Arabidopsis thaliana: one gene and its partners. The protein of the gene in region 1 interacts with the protein of each later gene in a pairwise test. Each region holds a gene or a part of one and is shown in the gene's direction. Other genes may lie near its edges. The genes, in order: AtMYB103, AG and AT3G62260.

Region 1 (5,694 bases):
ATATCTTAGCTAATAAACTGATTAAATTTAATAAAAGCAGCTAAGATTAGTTAAGATTTATATCTTAACCAAGATATTTTCTTAAGTTTAAGAAGTGGACAGGTGTTGTGTATTTATTGGGTACACAAATAAACAAAAGTAAGGAAAAAAAAACCATTGGAACATAAATAATTTAAATTTTTTCCCTTAAGAACTTTTTGCTTCTTAACCAATGGAGCATAAATAAATTAAGATATTCTCTAACTTATCTTAACTTTGAAAAAGCAAAATTTTAATTTTAAAAAAGGTTAAGATCCAAGATTAAAAGCTTTAACATCTTAACCATTGGGGATGCTCTAAAGGACCATGCATCCAGTATCTTATGTGTTGGAACAGGTGTATCCGTATATGTATGTAACTATGTATTATGTATCGTAATTTGTACGTAAGCTTGGTGCCCTGGTCTACAGTTCCCTAGTTAAGATTCTATTTTGACAACAAAATTGATGATTCCAATCATCCATATTTGTTATAGGGAGAAATTGAGCATGCTATATACGGTGATATATATGATATTTATTTAATATATTGAATAACAAACACAGAACTAGTGTTATAGGTGCAGGTATGTAAATATAATGTGATAAACATTTTTTATATAGATTGGAAAGAATACGAGATTGTTGTTGCTCTGTTAGAACGAACAAACAGAACTAGTGTTATAGGTGCAGGTAAGGTAAATATAATGTGATAAACATTTTTTATATAGATTGGAACAAATAAACATTTTTCTGTTAGAACGAACAAAGGCCTGTCAAAAAGAACAAACCTGATGTGACATATTACATATATGATTATAATTGATTATTGTATATATAGTATTGCATGACTATCTTTACAAGATTTCAATACGAAAATAAATTAAAAGGAGAAAATTTATAAACGAAGCGATTTCATTCTCGGTAAGGTTTTCCGATATGTCTCCTAACTAAATCAAAGCCTTGTAATTGAAACTTGTAATGATTGTTATTCTATATATCTTTGAAGAAAGCTTCGGTATTGGACGTACTTAATATAATTGGATTTTATTTAAATTACAAAAATCACTGTATAATTCGGCTACATGACTTAATCAATTATTTCACGTTGAAAACAATACTATATCAACTTCAAATACACTCCTTGTGTATGGATTCCACAAGTTCTTTTCTATCTATAGAAATATAGAATCCACAAGTTCTATCTACTTTTATTAGAATTTTTTATTGTTCGTTGTTGTTAACATAATTATAAGCAATAAATTCAAAAAAAAAAAAATCTAAAAGACACAAAATTTCCATCTTTGATAGGGCTTCGGAATCATTAATTACTTTTTACAAACAAAAAAGAAGAAGATAGGGCTTCGGAAATTATTAGAAAGATGGAAGGATATTGTATTAAATTTGGCTTCATATTTTCCTTTGGTTTGCGGCCATCAAGTACTAGTACTACTCAGTACCCACAGGCCACAGGAAAAAAAGTAGTACTGCTTTATTAAGTGTGTTACGATAAATGGAAAGCGTTTTAGTATGTGATTACAAATTGTTGTATGTGATCATTAATTAGTTATTGGTCCGACTTCTAAGTTTAAATATTTTCAGAATTCAGTTAGTTTAATTATACATGTTAGACGAAATGACTCTTTTTGAGCCAATATATAATGTATCTGAATTTTTCATTTTGAAAAATCTTTTTATAAAATAATAGGTCAACCTCGAATTATTATAATAAAATAAATAATTTGCGTTACTATGAAAATTAATTTACTGAATACAGTATATAGAGAGAGATAGAAATAGAGGAAAACAGTGGATAATACATGATTAGTTGATACTCATGTGCAGCGAGTCTATATATATTATATACTCATGATTAGTTGATACATATGTGACGATTAGTTCTACGAATCAATCTCTAGTTTTCGTCTTAAAATCATTTGGTTTTATAGAATATAAGAAACAAAGAAAACAGGAACTTTCGCGGGAGACAGAAGGGTACGTGAAGAGAAAAACACATAAAAGTGATAAGGGCTTAACGTAATAATACTACAACAAAACCTCTCTACGTACAACGAGTAATAACACATGAAAATAGAAAGTCGATGAGACATCGTTTTAAGGTTAGATCGATGAAGAAATATCTCAGGCCCCACCCCTGGGACCCGACCCGACCCGACCCGACCCGACCTTTGTCTCCTCTCCTTTTAAAAACTCTCCATTGCTTCTTTGTCTTCTCTCTTCTATAACATAACTCAAGAAATTAAAGAAGATAGATAGAGAGAGAGAGAGAGAGTAAAAACCTAAAGGGTGATATACTTATATAAAAATTAATTTAAGATTGTGATTAAGTGGTTCACTATATTTAAGTTACTTTGAGGAGCTACTAATCATGGGTCATCACTCATGCTGCAACCAGCAAAAGGTGAAGAGAGGGCTTTGGTCACCGGAAGAAGATGAGAAGCTTATTAGATATATCACAACTCATGGCTATGGATGTTGGAGTGAAGTCCCTGAAAAAGCAGGTGATCTTACTTGTATATTAGTTTTCAAGTAACATATTTTTTTCTCTAACCAATTATAACGATCTTGCGCTAATTAACATATATAGTTAATGTAACTAATTTTAAAATGCATGTTTGATCAAATTTAGGGCTTCAAAGATGTGGAAAAAGTTGTAGATTGCGATGGATAAACTATCTTCGACCTGATATCAGGAGAGGAAGGTTCTCTCCAGAAGAAGAGAAATTGATCATAAGCCTTCATGGAGTTGTGGGAAACAGGTCTCCATTTTTACTAACTCGACTTAAATTTTTATATATTATCAATTCAAGATAGTGTATTATTATAGACCGCTACAGGAAGTCTTATAAGATTTTCAATACTGATACCATTTTCAATAATAAGTTTGTTGGGTTGGGATACATACATAGTACATTTTATACTTATATTCAGTTTATCATGTTATATTTTAAATTTAAACAATTATATGTTTAGTTTGGCCACGGTTTGAAGCAACGACTAGCCTACTGTCGATGACCAAAGAATCTTTAACGTGTAGTTTCATTCATCTAGCTCGTTTACTTTTGTCTACTTGGTCGAGCTATTAAGTAGTACACTTTAAGTTACTTCATTGAACATTCTCAAAATGTGATACATACATATTTTCTTATTAAACTTATGTTTTTTGTTTTTTTCAGGTGGGCTCATATAGCTAGTCATTTACCGGGAAGAACAGATAACGAGATTAAAAACTATTGGAATTCATGGATTAAGAAAAAGATACGAAAACCGCACCATCATTACAGTCGTCATCAACCGTCAGTAACTACTGTGACATTGAATGCGGACACTACATCGATTGCCACTACCATCGAGGCCTCTACCACCACAACATCGACTATCGATAACTTACATTTTGACGGTTTCACTGATTCTCCTAACCAATTAAATTTCACCAATGATCAAGAAACTAATATAAAGATTCAAGAAACTTTTTTCTCCCATAAACCTCCTCTCTTCATGGTAGACACAACACTTCCTATCCTAGAAGGAATGTTCTCTGAAAACATCATCACAAACAATAACAAGAACAATGATCATGATGACACGCAAAGAGGAGGAAGAGAAAATGTTTGTGAACAAGCATTTCTAACAACTAACACGGAAGAATGGGATATGAATCTTCGTCAGCAAGAGCCGTTTCAAGTTCCTACACTGGCGTCACATGTGTTCAACAACTCTTCCAATTCAAATATTGACACGGTTATAAGTTATAATCTACCGGCGCTAATAGAGGGAAATGTCGATAACATCGTCCATAATGAAAACAGCAATGTCCAAGATGGAGAAATGGCGTCCACATTCGAATGTTTAAAGAGGCAAGAACTAAGCTATGATCAATGGGACGATTCACAACAATGCTCTAACTTTTTCTTTTGGGACAACCTTAATATAAACGTGGAAGGTTCATCTCTTGTTGGAAACCAAGACCCATCAATGAATTTGGGATCATCTGCCTTATCTTCTTCTTTCCCTTCTTCGTTTTAAATTAATGTTTAAATCACAGCAAATAAACTCCGCTAATTTGTTTATAAGTTTGTTTATTCACCTTTTTTCTCTTAGAGTTTGTAACGGGATTTTCACTTTATTATGTAATGAGTGTTCTAAATTGTTGATAAAGAGATGGTGTGAATGTATGTATATAAAACTCAAGGTCTTGTCCTTAATTTGATGTATGAAAAGGACAAAAAAACACTGCTTCCATGTTGCAAGGCAATACGGTAACGTAGTGCATTCACTAAGTTCGTTAACGTTGTCGTATCGTAACACAAACGTAGAGATTTGGCTAGCTACCCACGTACAGGCCATGGCAAAACTATTTTGAAAATTACTATAGCATTTTGGTTTGTAGAAAAGAGCATAAAGATATGATTAATCTAGTTGCAAAATGAGGTAGTGAATGAACAATACTTGGGAATAACAAAGTATTGTAATTAATCCACTTATATTCTTAATGATACAATCAAAGTATATCTGCAACAAAGTCAAAATTTTCAGTTTTCAAGGGAATAACAAAGTCAAATTAAGGATTTCAAGATACTATATGCATGTTTTAGACTCCTTTAAAATAGGTAGGATTATCTTTGTAGCGCGCTTTTGGTTTAGTGAATCTGAAGATCAAAATGTTGATATCTATTCGCTGAATCGAGCAAACACCTCATGGCATTGGCAACAACACGAATAAGTAAACACGAATGTACTGTTTTGCAAATCGAGTAAACACCTTATGTTTCTATATAATTCAAAATGTTTTGTTGTCGAAATCAAACCAAAGGGAATATCGAACGCTAAACTGTGTAATGTTTTGATTTTGCGGTATTTACAGACAAGACTCAAGTAGAGAATGTTTCTGAGGCCTGAGTTGTTGTTCAGTGACGATATGTCTTAACCGCCAGATCTATTCGTCTCCGACAAAGTGGACAGCTGGTCAAGTGGGAGGAGCATGCGGTGCAGCAGCACATATGACCACACCTGCGAGTACCAACCACAAGCATTTTAGCAAGTTGCAAATGCAGAATCAACCAAAAATGGCGGAAGAATGCTTACGGGACAAACACAGCGTTGTACTCCTGCTCTAGGCATATCACACAGAGATCAGGAACAGCGTCTTCTTTCTTGGTAGAATCTGAAATGCTCTCACGTGTCCCGTTTGAACCTGGTCAGAAGAGATTGTAGTCAGAGCCAGTGCAACCTATATGTAGAATAAAGAGATTCACCAATGGATACCTTCACTCTCTAGCTCAGCTCTCTTTGCTGCTGCGTCAAGCACTCTGCAAAAACAGCTGACTACTTAATTTTGTGTGTACATAGTTTCGAGAGAAACAAGCCGATCTAGTACTCATGCTTGAGAACGGTTATTCACTTTTAGACAGACAAATCTGTGACATACCTTTTTTGTAACTGTCTCCGCCGTCTTCTCTCTAGAACAGAGTCAATGACATGCTTCGTAATTAGGAACACACCAAGAACAGTAAAACCCATGGAGGCATATTTGTACAACCTGTAAATTATACTCTTCTCAATCAGTTTGGCTCATTGCCGTTTTTCTACAAGAGTATAGGAGAAGAACCGAGAGAGGAGAGAGACACGACCTTGACCATTTTCCCAAATTAGAAAT
Region 2 (9,668 bases), on another chromosome or scaffold:
TCAAATGGTTTGTGGTCTGTTGATCTACTAATCACGTCATACTAATTTTGGGATGGAATGTTACAGAATATATAATTTCAAAACAGAGAGAGTATTCTTTTGTTTTCTGTGAACTGATTTTATTCTAGGTAATATAATGTATCCATTTTTTTTAATGACGAGGAAGAAAAATTAAGGAACAAAAGAATATGCATTAAATTTGATTAGGTAGTGTCATTTAAGTGATCCCTTCTCCAACACAAAATGTATGATTCGACGTCAAATTAATGTTTTAAATATTTATTGCTTTTATTGATCATATATAATTTAATATTTATAATCATTATTACGTGGGAACTTATCTAGTACACATTCTATGTCTTTGTGAACTTAGTACACGAGTAACGGTTTTTCTATTAAATTAAAACCTTCAAAACAACATTTGATGAAAATTTCATAGATTTTACACCAAAATTTCGTAAGAAAAATTGTTGGAGTTCGTATTGTTTTCTTGTAGTAGATGACATTAAAAAAATACATTAAGATACACTAAACAAGAATTATGCATATTGTTTTTTGGTCAAAATCGAGCCTTTACCAAATTGATCGATACATTTTTTCTGATGATACGTTTAGACTAGTTGGATAAAATATTAATCTGTCCTCAAAACCAATTTGCAGTGGATCAATCCATATATCTTCTATATTATTAGGATCTTTGTCTAACTTCCGATGTGTGATATTGTTATTCCTAAGATAAAACACCATTGAAAAACAGTATTTTAAATCGGGTAAATAATTCAGCGAGTCACATATTTTTGTTTTAATAAAAACTCAAATCAAAAGTGATCAAAATATGGTAGAAAGCAACCTTCGATTGTGGTCCATCATGTAAGATACGAGAAGATTTTATGGTTTTTAAAACCCACTTCGACCATGAAAGCTTGACCCAAAGCAATTGAGTTGTTTCTTTTATAAATGACCTAATCAATTTCCATACATACAAGCATACATGTGACGTAAAGGAAATCTAATTATGTACTAATTTGTAAATTTTACTAGTATTCAATTCAGTAATTCTTACTAAACTTACTTTAACTCTTGCTAATTAAATATACTACTAGAGAAGGTAAATTACATGCAGTTAAGCTATACTATTTTTTCTAATTGCAAGAAAGAAAGAAAAAGTACAAAAGAAAAGAAAGCACATTGCAAGTGGATGTATATATAGTTATAGGGAAATAAATATGAATATGGACTGTATATACATATAGGTTTCTCTTATCTCTATCAAATTACCTTAAATGGGTTCATAAAGATGGAGATCAAAGACTACACATCACATGCTACTCTCCCTCTTCTTTTGGCATAACCTTACTCCATTTATACATTGTGCTCCTCAATTATTCAACATTTTTTAAAAATAACTTATTTAACAAAATGTTAGAAAATATCTACCCAATTTTTTTCTTCCACATACGAGCTACAAAGATCTTTATCAAATAAAACAAGAAAGATTATTAATCCATATTTTGGGTTAAATTTTAATCCATTTAGCCAATTAGGAGAACTATTTTAACAGTTAGATACTTTTCAACAAAATTTATTAAGTAGTCACCTATGTATATTCATATAGTAGTTTCACAAACAATATGGAGAGCTGTGATCTTGAAGAGGGCGACAAAAGTCAAAAAGAAAATGTAAAAAAAGAGAGAGAGATTAAAGTAGTTGGAGAAGAGAGAAAAGTCTGGTTACCTTCTAATTGAGTCAGAAGCATTACACTTAAATAACTTTCCAAATTAAGCCCTACGTCTTGTCCAGCCCCTTAAAAGTACGCTTCATCTCCCTATTTCCCCTATAAACCCTAAAACCCTATTTATCTTATTAATTTATCATTTTTTTTATATGTCAATATCACAACAAGTAAACATCATCAACTTCAAATCTCACTAACATAAATAGTATGCTAATTTTCTTCACTATCTGAGTAATTTTCTCCTTCTTTTTACATCATTCGATTCTATATTTGCCACACCATTAAATAGATAAGTATATTGGTTCTTACTACTAATAATCAGTTTAGCCATATATCTAATTACACAGTTTTCTTTTATATGTTACTTTATATTTGTACACCATCAGTTACTATATACGGAATAAATTACACCTCATCATGTAATTACAATATTATCATAAATTTTTTGAAATTCTATTCTTTAATATTTTCAGTATCCAGAATCCATTTTCTTATATTTATTCTGGCAAAATAATGTAAAATGGTATCAAATATACAACACCATATATTTGTTTATAAATAACTTCCTTAATTAGTGAAACAAATTTTCCTGCAGAATGTCACTTAAATCTTTAAAACAATTCACAAAAGAAAAGGGAATAGAGCTGAAATTTTTTCCTCTTTAAAAAGATCAAGATTTAGTAAAAACTAGAAACAAAGAAGAAGATCGATATTTGTTGTAACAAAAAAATGTACTGATCAGATTTACCCAAAGATTTTAGTGCCTCAAAAACTTTCACATGAAAAGCAAAGACAAGTAATGGTAAGTAGAGTCTGCATCTCATGAGTGATTGCCCAACTTGAACCCTCTTTTCATTTAGACCTTTGTGAAAGACCACACAAGAACTACCCACCAATAACTCTCTCTTTTTTTCTTCATTTCCAAAAACTATTTATTCATTTCTACAATTTCTCAATTTGGGGGTGTCCTTAATAAGTATTATATTTATGAAAAGTCCGGATGTATGGTGGGTGTTATTTATGGTAATTAACACTATTTATTAATAATATTTTTCATGTGATTTCAAAAGCTGATGTACTCATGCTTTGTGAACCTTTAGATTGCTCTATGTCAATCTTTTATTTTAACCTATCATATGTCTAAATGTACTGAAAAGAAACACCAGTTTAATTAATTATACTTCCCTCATATATAACTATCAACCAAGTACAAAACTTTTGTCAATTCTCAAAATCAACTTTCACCACATAATTATCTAACATGTGTATGTTCCAAAACCAGTTTAAATAGAATTACTTTTCAGAAAATACATGTATATTAACTCTATCTAATAAAGAAGAAACACATACTTATCTCATAGATTCCATTCATAAAACTATGCTTTAGTGAGTAAGAAAACCAGTAATCAAACACAAATTGACAAGACACTATATGGATGTAAAAAGTGGGGAAAAATGGTGATAAATAGTAGAGAAAATTAAAAAGAAAAAAAATATTCCTTTATAAATGTATATACCCATCTCTTCACCAGCACAACCTTACCTTCCATTTTCTGCAACTTCTCCAAATCTCATACTTTCCAGAAAATCATTTTCCCAAGAAAAATAAAACTTTCCCCTTTGTTCTTCTCCCCCCAACAGGTCAGGCTAGTATTTTGTTGTTCCCCAATCCTTTCAAACATTATCTTCTTCATAATATTACTTTGCTTCACTTCTTTTGGTCCTTAAACCAAATTTTTGTTCTTCTTTAGTTTCCTTTTTTCCCGTTTTGATTTGATTCTTTTTATGTTATTTAGAGAGAAACAAGATTCACAAATTCTCTGATCTTCTTTAACTCTTTAAAACTTTTCTTTTTCACACTCTAGATTTAAATTATCCCTATGGTTACAAAACAATTTTGTTCTTAGTTTATAACTTGTGTATTACCATCCTTTCTTGATTAACTCTTGTTAGGAGAATATGAATGTAAGATCAATAAAGTTCTTCAACTTTATAATTCCTTCTATAAGATGTGTGTCGGCAACAGAATTAAATTAAATCTTTATAGTTTAACTTTAATCTCAACCATAATTCAAAAGAATAGAAAACATGAAGAATCTTGAGTCTTTTCAAGAAAATCTTGATTGGTTTTTTGTTGGATTCTTGTAATTCTGTACTAATCAAATTTTGCCCTAAACGTTTTTGGCTTTGGAGCAGCAATCACGGCGTACCAATCGGAGCTAGGAGGAGATTCCTCTCCCTTGAGGAAATCTGGGAGAGGAAAGATCGAAATCAAACGGATCGAGAACACAACGAATCGTCAAGTCACTTTTTGCAAACGTAGAAATGGTTTGCTCAAGAAAGCTTACGAGCTCTCTGTTCTTTGTGATGCTGAAGTCGCACTCATCGTCTTCTCTAGCCGTGGTCGTCTCTATGAGTACTCTAACAACAGGTTTCTTCTTCTTCTCGTGCTCTGTTCTTACTTTATTAATAATTAAATTATTTTTAAAGTCCGATTTAGGGTTTTATGTTTATGTTAAAGCATAAATCTTTTACGAGGGTTTTCGATCTTCTAAGCTAGATTTGATTCTCTTCTTCTTGAATGCTCTTATGGGTAGGATTATTTTTCACTTTTTTCCTTCATATTCCACACACATATATATATAAACACACTAACATTAGTGGGAATATTTGTTTGATATGTTTATTTTATTTACTTCGGGGGTTTTTGTAACAATTTTGTAGATCTAATTTCTTGTTCTTCATGTGTATATTAATTTTCCCTTAAGACTTAAATAAAAAGAGAGAATTTGTTATATATAGATATATGAAGTGAGGGAAATGGTACAAAGTTAAAGGAGATCTGAGTGAGAGTTAGATAATAAATGAAAAGAAATAAGAAACCATCAGGGTTTTTTCTAATGTGGAGTTTTAGATTCAGTTTTGTAGAACTAAGATTCACTTTGTTGGGTGTTCTTTCTTCACTCATTTCTGTTATTATAATAATAATAAAATCTTATATCTTTCTATTTTCCTTACTAACAAGTACTTGAAGATTTAGATATATTTATAGATCTGGTGTTGTAATAGGTAAAAACTTGATTTTTATGACTATAAAAGTAAGTTTTGGGAAACAAATTGGGGAGAGAGTAAGGAAGGACTATGAGGTCATATCTTCTGTTTTGTGATCATCCATCCTCCATTGTTGTTAATGTCTGTGTCTCTCTTTTTCTTCTCTTCTTTCTCTTACTTTCCTTTCTTATCTCTAGCTCTCTTTCTCTCTCATGAATTATATCATATCATATATTTGATACAAACACATGTGATGGTAAGTGAGAGTGAATAAGGTGAAACTAGCTAGATTTTTGAGTTTTCATGAAATTTTAACTTATATGAGTGATAGAAAATAATGGAACTTATACGTACATGTAGGACAATTTAGATGGTTATCTAAGTTTTTGTTTTTGTTTTCTCTTGAGAATGTTAAATGTTAGTGTTATTTTTGTAGTTTTGGAAAATTATATATGAGCTAAGATTAGTTTAGAAGTGGTCAAAAGAAACATAGATTTGAAATTTCAACTGAATTTTCAAGATTTCAAATAGTCAATGAAACAAGGAGGTAATTAAGACAAATTAGCTTATGGGGACTCTTTTTTGTTATTCCTTAAAATTACTCTTTTTAAAATTAAAAATAACTAATCTCATTTCGAACTACATTACTCAAACTAGTAATCTCTAATTCGACACGCAATTTCCAAATACTTATTAGTAGAGAGTCCCACGTGATTACTTTCTTCTCCACCAAAACATAAAACATGTCAAGATTAAATGGTGTTTGAAAATTAAAAGATCAATTTTCTTAATCGTTTACAGTTGTCAACTCTCATGTCCTGAAATATATAATTCTCATGTCCAAAACAAGAAAAGCTAACAACGACTTCAAATTAAATCAGTCAATCAAAATTAGTCTTCATTTACCTACTAATTTCTTTTTATATATCCGATGGGTACTCTACGAAATCAGAGTTTCGTTTCTTTATTTATTTTCTTTTATAAGATTTTTGAGGTTTTTTCAGAGGTTGGAATTGAGCGCAAGATTAGGTTTTGGGTCTGTAAGATTTGTTGTCTTTGTTAAAGAATCTTTGATCACGTCATCACTCAGATATTATTTCTTTTTATTTTTCACTTGTATTTTTACTAATTTATTATAAAGTTTTGTTAGTTTCAGTTCTTGACTTCTGACAAGAAGGTTTTATGTCATAATGAATTAATTTGTAACCTATTTATAAATTCAAAAATGTCATCATATTACTACTTTTGACCATTTAATATTAGATTTCTCATTTGGTCAATACCCAATGTTCATATTACATATATAGAGACAAAAATTATAAGGATACTAAATTGTTCATATTTCTTGGAAGTAAAAAGATTAATGATCACTGAATAAATAGATTTGGCATAGAAGTATAGCATTGGAATTGCTTCAACATCTTTGGTGTAGATAGATTTATGCAATTTCTCTTTCTTTTTGAAGTATCTTTTTTTTTTCTAGAGAGAGAATAATGTTAGGGATTTTTATCATTTTCTCTCTCATTATGGGTACTGAGAGGAAAGTGAGATTTTTAGTACGGATCCAATAGTTTAAGAGTTTGGTCTGCCTTCTACGATCCAAAAAAATCTACGGTCATGATCTCTCCATCGAGAAGGTTGAGAGTTCAGACATCAAAGTCTATAATATGTCATTGTAATACGTATTTGTGTATATATATCTATGTACAAGTACATATACAGGAAACTCAAGAAAAAAGAATAAATGGTAAATTTAATTATATTCCAAATAAGGAAAGTATGGAACGTTGTGATGTTACTCGGACAAGTCATTTAGTTACATCCATCACGTTTAAATTTAATCCAATGGTTACAATTTTAATACTATCAAATGTCTATTGGATTTATACCCAATGTGTTAATGGGTTGTTGACACATGTCACATGTCTGAAACCCTAGACATGTTCAGACCAATCATGTCACTCTAATTTTGCCAGCATGGCAGTTGGCAGCCAATCACTAGCTCGATAAATTTAAGGTTTCAGAGGAATTTTAATTTATTTAGGGTTCATATTGTTTCATAAAATGATTCTTTATTTGTTACAACTTTAAGGAAATATTTTATTAACTATTTAATTGTTCCCTTTTCTTATATTACTTTTGTTTTTTCTTCACATCATGTGTCACATTAAGTTGCATTTCTTCTGACTCAAAAGAACCGATGTTTGCTTTTAAGGTTTCGTATTAGAATCACTTAACTGTGCAAGTGGTCGATTTGACCCTATCAATTTTATTTTTTATTACTTATCAAAATGCAGATTTAAGCGTAGATTAAGTTTAGAAAATAGGTAGTTAATAGGTCTAATTAACTTATTAATTCCTTTAAAAAAATTATTGCAGTGTAAAAGGGACTATTGAGAGGTACAAGAAGGCAATATCGGACAATTCTAACACCGGATCGGTGGCAGAAATTAATGCACAGGTAAGTGGTAACTTAATATTACACGAATGATTTTAATTAATATATGATGACATGACAACATTGTTCATTCTTTTACTCTTTTTTTTTTTGTTGTTGTTGTAGTATTATCAACAAGAATCAGCCAAATTGCGTCAACAAATAATCAGCATACAAAACTCCAACAGGTTAATTATCTAACTGACTTGAAATATTTGATTACTTGGTTGTTATTAACTATTTGATATATTAACATATGTTGATAAATCAATTAGGCAATTGATGGGTGAGACGATAGGGTCAATGTCTCCCAAAGAGCTCAGGAACTTGGAAGGCAGATTAGAGAGAAGTATTACCCGAATCCGATCCAAGAAGGTAATTCTATTTTTTTTATAAATGCTTCAATATAATATCAAATTAAATCTATATGCCTTGTTGCTAATTTTTGTTTAATTTTACAGAATGAGCTCTTATTTTCTGAAATCGACTACATGCAGAAAAGAGTAAGAAATAAATCTTAACTTAATTTCTATTCTTAATATGTTCTTATAATAATTTTGCTCATTTGCATTGCACCGATTAAGCAGGAAGTTGATTTGCATAACGATAACCAGATTCTTCGTGCAAAGGTAAAAGTACACATTATATATCAATTTCTATAATTTTCCCTATTGTTTCAATAAATATTATATGAAAACGATTAAAATGGTGAAAGTACTTGTAGATAAATAGTTTATGACATATATTTGTGTAATGTAGATAGCTGAAAATGAGAGGAACAATCCGAGTATAAGTCTAATGCCAGGAGGATCTAACTACGAGCAGCTTATGCCACCACCTCAAACGCAATCTCAACCGTTTGATTCACGGAATTATTTCCAAGTCGCGGCATTGCAACCTAACAATCACCATTACTCATCCGCGGGTCGCCAAGACCAAACCGCTCTCCAGTTAGTGTAAGGACACAAAATCTTGCTCCGATCAATCATTCTAGTCTTATATTATTAATCGGTCCATTTTGTAAAACTTGACAGCATGGATTTGGTCTTTTATGCTGTTTTGTAGGTAATATAGGCTGAAGGAAATGGCCGGGAGTGAATAAAAACCAGAATTGGGTTGAGCAAGCAATATAAAGCTAATGCATGTTATATATATATTTATCCCATGAATGTTGTATCAGTGAATTTTATGCTTATGTTGATGTGAAATTAATATCTTAAAGACATGTCATTAATGTGCTTAATTTGCTTCAAAACATCTATGTGTATAAGTGTACTATTAGTTCAATTGTTGTATTTAATTACCAATTCCTGCTCTATTAATGATTTTATTATAGAAAAGTCTCAATATGATAATGATATATATTCATGTGCTGAGTTCCATCCTCCTCCTCCTTCTCCCCATGTGGTACAGTTGCAAAATGTCGAAACATTCGTTCATTTTGTAGCTGCCTACCAGGAATACATTCACCACCCGGTCTCAATATCTCGCGTCTTGCTCGGTGAAAACACATACAAGAGTATTAACCATATTTTCTTTAAATGCACATACAATAGCTTATCTCTGCCTAGCTTCATTTCGTAAACCAAGAGCAAACATTATCGGATGGCTCCATACCTGTTCTCAATAAATCATGGTCATAATCAAGCTCATTTTCCTAGCCTCCGGTTACTAGATTTTGTATGGAACGCAACATCCATTTCCATCCAGGCCCGGTCCAACAATTTTTTTTGCAAGGGACAAGATATAGTTGTTATTGTTCAAGAACCTGACTCTTATGCACAAGCTTCCTCTTATCAGAATTCGCCATTTAAACCAACTTCAGTTTCTTTTTATATCCATTTACTAGAAAAGTGTTTGAACAATTAAAAGATTGATACATAGTAATAACTAATAAGAGAATCAGAGATCCAAATGAATTTAGTCATCTATAAGAAAGCAGAAATTTCATGTCATTATATAGAACCATGATACATAAACTCAACAAAACAAACAATTCTTCTGCAGCAAAAAGAAACAATCATCAAACACTTAAATAAGAAAAAGATTAAATCTGTCTCCCTCTCTTTTTCACTCTGTGTTTGCTTGGAGGAAATTTCATGAACTAGAGCCGAGCAAGCTGCTGGATATCATAAGGATGAGCATCAGAAGCAGATTCTCTCTGAAAAGATCGACTACCGATGACAACATTCGCAGCTTCTCCTGGATGAAACGCGTCCCAGAACACATACTCGTCCCTGTTAAGACATGGAGCTTGACCCGGAAGACAAGTTATCTGTCCATTGTTCCTCCCAACTCCACAACATCCCGCGTTTGTCACCCTAAACCCTAAACCATTAACAAGACGTTGATGAAACCATCAACAAAGTTTTCAGGCAACATTTGATAGAGTTTGTTTAAGAGGTGACTCTTACCATAGCGAGAAGGATTAGCTACCATGTCTTG
Region 3 (6,256 bases), on another chromosome or scaffold:
ATCCACTTTTTTAGCTTCTTGAAAAATCTTATTAACCGATTTTGGATTTTGCAGGAAGCTGAGATGGGATCAACTGCTTCGTATCCATGTGATTCTGAGATTCTTGATGAGTTTATTACAAGAAGCAGAGGAGAGTTTAGACACACATGTAGTCCTAAAGTTACTAGTTCGACTTCAACACCGGTTTATAATCGGAATCTCTCTCAAGTGTTTAGTCCTAGAGTGATTGATTTAAGAGGTGAGATGAGTCCAAGGCTCTCCGGGAAAGGCCAAAATAGTCCAAAGCCGAGTCCTTTAAACCCATCATCATCGTCGAAATGAGTTTACCGATGATGGAGGCTTGATAAAACCGGAGGAGATTATGTTTAAAATTAGTTAATTAATTGATGTTGTATCTTATGCATTCTTGAGTTTTTTTTTTCTTTTTACCTATGTTTAAAATTATGTTTGCATTTCTGTTCTTGATTTAGAATCATTGTAAAATCTCTCTAAATACCATGTCAAATGTCGGTAAAACATTATACTATGTAATAATAAAGCCATGAAACATCAGCTTATAATATAGACGTTCACGATAAAAGAAAGTTCGAGAGAAAAAATCTAACGGAAACATGAAAATAAAGAACAACAAGAAAAGTTAGTGGCTTTTGCCTTTTGGTTATGTGGTTGTCTTAAACTGTGTTTGTTGCGTCTCGATTTTTATTGTCGGATCAGAGATTAGATTAAGACATTCTCATTGACCATTTTTCCACGCGTAGGTACAGTAACTTAACCTGATTAAAACCATTCTAGTTTGACTAATATAATGTTTTAAAGATCCTTCGCAGAATTTAAATACAAAAAAGGGCTAAAAGTTGCACCTTTTTCTTATTAATATTATAGTCGAAATCTTAAGGCCAACTATTCCCTTAAAATCCAACAAGGAAGAAAACCTTACTGAATCCAATGGGCTTAATACTTTCAGACAGTTTAAAGATTTATGGCTTTCCTCGAAATTATGATCCATTAAATGCGTGTCTCCTCATTGATGATCATCAGCAAATCGTGTGTCATATTATATTAACCCTAATCATAATATATTAATACTATAACACCAGCAACATTATGCTGAGTCATACATATATATGCTAATAAGTACTAGTAGTTGTTAATTTTTATTGGTAAGATACCATAACACTAGTTTTATATTAGACTTTACACGAACAAGTTTCAAAATTTTAGCAACGCATTAGATCTTGAGCATCTTGGTTTCGTCTAAAGAAACATTATTTAGTTGAATGTCTTACATAGTAAGACAAATATTTTTGGGTAATATATAAAAAATGTGATAATTTTTAACTTTTAAATTAGTATTTAGGTTAAATTAGATCATACATTCTTAATATGATAACAAAGTGTATTACCGCCTTAATAGACAGTTTTTTTATAAAGAATGGTTTTGCACCTACTCTATACAAATAACATGTCTTATTATATTTTCGAAATGTTAAACTTACTCATATTGCTTAGGACAAAATTTTTAAGTAATAAATAAAACGTGTGGTAATTCTTAAATTTGGATTACTATGTCAGTTTAGATATTTTAATTAATTTTTCCAATAGTCAAATTGAGAAGGAAAAAACAACCACATAAAATAATAAATTAGGTAATGGCTTTGGATCATAGAGAGCACTTAACTTGTTGATCTACGCAATGTGTAAAGCTTGATACCACTAAACTATTATTCGTGACAAAAATTAAAAAGAAAGAAAAGACTGCTGACCTGGCATGACAGATAGTTAAACCTTGGGAGGCAAGTTCATCCTGGTGATTTTAACGGTCCAGATTCATCTAGATGCAACGCCATTGTGTGATTAAAGATCGTCACTTGCAGGTGTGTACACGGACAAACCTTTAGAGATTCTGGTCGAGAAAGTTCTGTACTTCCTAAAGTACCCCTAAACATTTAATCCTATTACAGAAATATCCCCGTTATTTCCAAAGAAAGTCCTCGGAAGTTGGTAAAAGTTTAAAAAGGAGTGGTTCAGAATCCGACGTCGTTCGAGGGTACGCGCGTCAAAGCTCGAATGACACGTGTCATAATTAGGGCTTAGTCTTAGCCGTGTGTAATCCACAAACTAAACAGAGATCATAATCTACATAAGCAACCGACTCGCCACAGATGATGGCCACGTGTCAACTGAATTTTACCGGTTACCCAGTCACCCATAATCGAGTCTTTTTCTTCTTATATATAATCAGAGAGAAAAAGCCCACGCGGCTCAGAAATTTCGTCCACGAGAGGAATAAATTCACACGCGAACTTCGATAGTTGTTAATTTTCGTTGAACACAAGTGACGAATTTGAGAGAGAAAAAAAAAGAAAATCAGAGATAAAGAATTTGAGTTTCTTGGAATTAAAGGATCGATTTTGTTGAAGTGAAATTGAAATTGATTGTGAAAAGAGAAAGAGACTGATGGTAGCAGAAGCAGAGGTTGTGTTTCAACAGAGTTTACCGGCGGTTCTGGAGATTGAGTTGTTTGACGGAGTTTCCTCCGCCGTTAAATCTCCCGTTTCTTCTCCGAAATTGGGTTTTACTCAGTCAACGGCGTCGGTTTCCGGAAGTTTAACGACTTCTCCTGTGGTAAGTCTTGTTTAAAGTTTACATTTTTATTTTCTGGGTGAGAATTTAAGAAGCTGGGTTCTGAAACGTAATTAGAAATTCGACTGAATTATTGGTTTTAGTCTATTAGGAATCATCAAATAAGATGACTTTATTGTAAATATTTTGCAAACATATCCTTGGATCTCTTAGGCTTAGAGGACCTCTAGTTCATGTGTGTTTGCGTGTCGTAGCAAATATAGATGCTTGTTGTCTATAACTTTGCCTTAATGAAGCAACTTTAAAGCTGTTGGAGAAGCCCTTTGTAGTTATTGTGTGTTGTTAACTGTCTTGTCTTCACTGCTTGTGTTTTATTTGTTGCTATACTCAATTGAGCATCCGTGTATACCTTTTATTTAGCAGGCTGATATCTTTCCAGAGGGTGATTGCGATCCTAGTGTCTTGGATTATATTCCGACCATCCGGTCTGGAAGCTTTGCTGATATTGGGCCAAAGAGAAACATGGAAGATGAACACATTCGCATAGACGATTTATCTTCTCAAGTTGGTTCCCTTTTTGAGTTGCCGAAGCCTAGTGCTTTCTATGCGGTATGTATCGTTGCTTCCTTATAATCTGATGCTCTTTTAAGTATACATTCTGACTTGACTTTCCTCTGCTTAGGTTTTTGACGGGCATGGAGGACCAGAAGCAGCAGCATACGTACGGGAAAATGCCATTAGGTTTTTCTTTGAAGATGAGCAGTTTCCACAGACATCGGAAGTGAGTAGTGTTTATGTGGAAGAAGTTGAGACTTCATTGAGAAATGCGTTTCTTCAAGCTGATCTAGCTTTGGCAGAGGATTGCAGTATCAGCGATTCTTGTGGTACCACCGCTCTGACTGCTCTTATTTGTGGAAGGTACGTGTTTCATTCAGTTTTGTTTAGTTCTCAATCTATCTTTAGAATCTTAAGAGATCTCTTGCGCATATACGAAGATGTGCACAAAGGTAAATAAATCTATTGTTAGGATCTTAAGAGAGCTCTTACATATACTAGATTGTAAGTATATAACCTGTGACATGAGCAATATTGGCTATGGTTTTATACTTTTGGTTACTCTTTCTGTTGTTGTCTTTGGGGTTTAACTGTGATTTTCTCATGGGATACTTATGTTCTTGTCTTTTGCAGACTCTTAATGGTTGCAAATGCCGGAGACTGCAGAGCGGTTCTATGCAGGAAAGGCAGAGCGATAGACATGTCTGAAGACCATAAACCGATTAATCTACTTGAGAGAAGAAGAGTGGAGGAATCCGGCGGTTTCATCACTAATGACGGTTACCTAAATGAAGTCCTAGCTGTAACCCGAGCTCTGGGCGACTGGGATTTAAAACTGCCACACGGCTCTCAATCTCCACTGATCTCGGAACCAGAAATCAAGCAGATAACTCTAACTGAAGACGATGAGTTTCTTGTGATTGGGTGCGATGGGATTTGGGATGTCTTGACGAGCCAAGAAGCGGTTAGCATTGTTAGGCGTGGCTTAAACCGGCACAACGATCCAACAAGATGTGCGCGAGAGCTAGTGATGGAGGCTCTGGGGCGGAACTCATTTGATAATTTAACTGCGGTGGTGGTATGTTTCATGACAATGGACAGAGGGGACAAGCCGGTGGTGCCATTGGAGAAGAGAAGGTGTTTTAGTCTTTCGCCTGAAGCTTTCTGTAGCTTGAGGAATCTGTTGGATGGCTGAAACTAGTGTGTTTTCTGGTGAAAACCGATGATTATATAATTGATGATGACGAATAATCTCTCCCACGGCTGCTTTTGTATTTAGAGATTTTACGCAGCTGAGAGAACTCTTTTGAGATATACTTGTGTATTAAGTGTGTTTGTTGTGTGCACAGTATGCGATTACAGTTTTGTGTACATACATACTGTTAGTTGTCTATGAATAACGAAAAAGAAAAGATTAAGTGATCGCCACTTTGTCAAGATAAAATTGCATCTTTATTTTTTTGATCAAGATAAAACTCCATTCAACACGACCATTTAAAACTAGGAATGTATCATCATTTCGAGACTAACTTTCGTTCTTCGCTTAATAAGATTTACAAATTCATGCAGCAGAAACTATTTTTGAACAACTTCAGTTTAAAGATAAATCAAACTTATTCAAAAATCATTAGCAACACGTTTAGAAACCAAAAAGACAAGGCTACTACTACGCATGAGAGCAGCCTTAAGAATCAAAGCGTAGAAACTAATCACTCATCACAAAACTAAAATCCTAGATCGAATATTATTCGAGAATTAATCACTTGACTAAAAAGAATACAAGACAAATCATAAATTCCGCTACGTTGCCATTGCAAATCATCTATAAATCTGCAAACAAATGATTTGAAATGCTCTCACAACTACGTTATAGGATGATTCAAGAAGTAGCAACCAATGAATATCAAAGTATAGAACGAACAACATAATGAATATCCATAAAATCCTAAAACCTTCCATAATTTATAATCCAGAACGAAAGATGTTCAACATAGAATCCATGATAACTCAAATTAAAGAGCTTACAAAATTCCCAAATAGAAATGCAGTTTTTAAAAGATAAGAGAGAAAGAGAAGGATCGATCTACCGCTACAACAGATCAAGCTTCAACTCCTTCTTTCTGGTAAACGTAGGTGAGTCCACACTTACCACAGTAATGGCGATCAAAATGACTCGCCATGAAAGTCCCAGCTCCACAGGTTGCGTTAGGGCACTCCTTCCTCAAACGCTGAACCTTTCCAGATCCATCGATTTTGTAAAACTGAAGAACAGCGAGCTTAACCTTCTTATGCTTGTGCTTGATCTTCTTCGGCTTGGTGTAAGTCTTCTTCTTCCTCTTCTTAGCACCACCACGGAGACGGAGGACGAGATGAAGCGTCGATTCCTTCTGGATGTTGTAGTCGGCGAGGGTACGGCCGTCTTCAAGCTGTTTCCCGGCGAAAATCAATCGCTGCTGGTCCGGTGGGATTCCTTCCTTGTCTTGGATCTTCGCCTTCACATTGTCGATGGTGTCGGATGATTCAACCTCAAGGGTTATGGTCTTCCCCGTTAGGGTTTTCACGAAGATCTGCATCTTTTGAGGCAACGGCTGCTGAAGATTATCAAAATGGGGATTTTGTAGGCGAAGGAGACCTCTAGGGTTTCTTAGCTCAATTACGTTACTACCCTTATTTTATTTGGGCTTAGTTTTGGGCTTTCACAGAGCAGTCTATTGGGCCATTAAGCTCACCAAAAGTTATAAAAAAAAGAAAATAAAAATGGAGATGCAGGGAATCGAACCCTGTGCCTCTCGCATGCAAAGCGAGCGCTCTACCATATGAGCTACATCCCCGAATGATTCTCAACACTTTTTTAACTAAATAGTATCAACGATTAATTTATTTATGTATTTGTTTGACTGGCCTTGATGATTAGGAGACCTTTGATATTCTTCTTCATCTAGCCCTTTTATTTAGCGAGCCCTCTTTCGAGAACCCTAGATCTCTCTTGCTCATCAATCTCTATTGTTGTCGTTTCGAAACAATTTCCTTATCTCGATCTCAAATTCAGGAAGAGACATGGATGATAGCTGTGCCGTCTGCGCTGACAATCTCGAATGGGTTGCCTATGGATCTTGTG

The links.
Region 2: the proteins of AtMYB103 (region 1) and AG interact in a two-hybrid assay, tested with the Arabidopsis thaliana proteins (one large-scale study listed by BioGRID).
Region 3: the proteins of AtMYB103 (region 1) and AT3G62260 interact in a two-hybrid assay, tested with the Arabidopsis thaliana proteins (one large-scale study listed by BioGRID).

What each region holds. Positions count from the first base shown.
Region 1 is NC_003070.9:23,718,338-23,724,031, reverse strand, and holds AtMYB103 (myb domain protein 103), read left to right. Parts: upstream 1-2,257; 5' UTR 2,258-2,406; coding exon 2,407-2,539; intron 2,540-2,667; coding exon 2,668-2,797; intron 2,798-3,214; coding exon 3,215-4,064; 3' UTR 4,065-4,249; downstream 4,250-5,694. Other genes in the region: DAL1 (E3 Ubiquitin ligase family protein), read right to left, coding at 4,946-5,048, 5,124-5,232, 5,304-5,347, 5,467-5,577, 5,669-5,694.
Region 2 is NC_003075.7:10,379,981-10,389,648, forward strand, and holds AG (K-box region and MADS-box transcription factor family protein), read left to right. Parts: upstream 1-2,875; 5' UTR 2,876-3,700; intron 3,701-3,931; 5' UTR 3,932-3,936; coding exon of another isoform or gene 3,937-4,060; coding exon 4,061-4,166; intron 4,167-7,001; coding exon 7,002-7,091; intron 7,092-7,165; coding exon of another isoform or gene 7,166-7,173; coding exon 7,174-7,247; intron 7,248-7,349; coding exon 7,350-7,411; intron 7,412-7,498; coding exon 7,499-7,598; intron 7,599-7,684; coding exon 7,685-7,726; intron 7,727-7,810; coding exon 7,811-7,852; coding exon of another isoform or gene 7,853-7,885; exon of another isoform or gene 7,886-7,982; coding exon 7,983-8,179; intron 8,180-8,288; coding exon 8,289-8,292; 3' UTR 8,293-8,559; downstream 8,560-9,668. Other genes in the region: AT4G18970 (GDSL-like Lipase/Acylhydrolase superfamily protein), read right to left, coding at 8,895-9,042, 9,329-9,551, 9,638-9,668. UniProt on the Arabidopsis thaliana protein: Probable transcription factor involved in the control of organ identity during the early development of flowers. Is required for normal development of stamens and carpels in the wild-type flower.
Region 3 is NC_003074.8:23,036,593-23,042,848, reverse strand, and holds AT3G62260 (Protein phosphatase 2C family protein), read left to right. Parts: upstream 1-2,278; 5' UTR 2,279-2,457; coding exon 2,458-2,625; exon of another isoform or gene 2,626-3,003; coding exon 3,004-3,192; intron 3,193-3,265; coding exon 3,266-3,501; intron 3,502-3,771; coding exon 3,772-4,333; 3' UTR 4,334-4,559; downstream 4,560-6,256. Other genes in the region: AT3G62270 (HCO3- transporter family), read left to right, coding at 55-321; UBQ5 (ubiquitin 5), read right to left, coding at 5,238-5,711; AT3G62240 (RING/U-box superfamily protein), read left to right, coding at 6,196-6,256.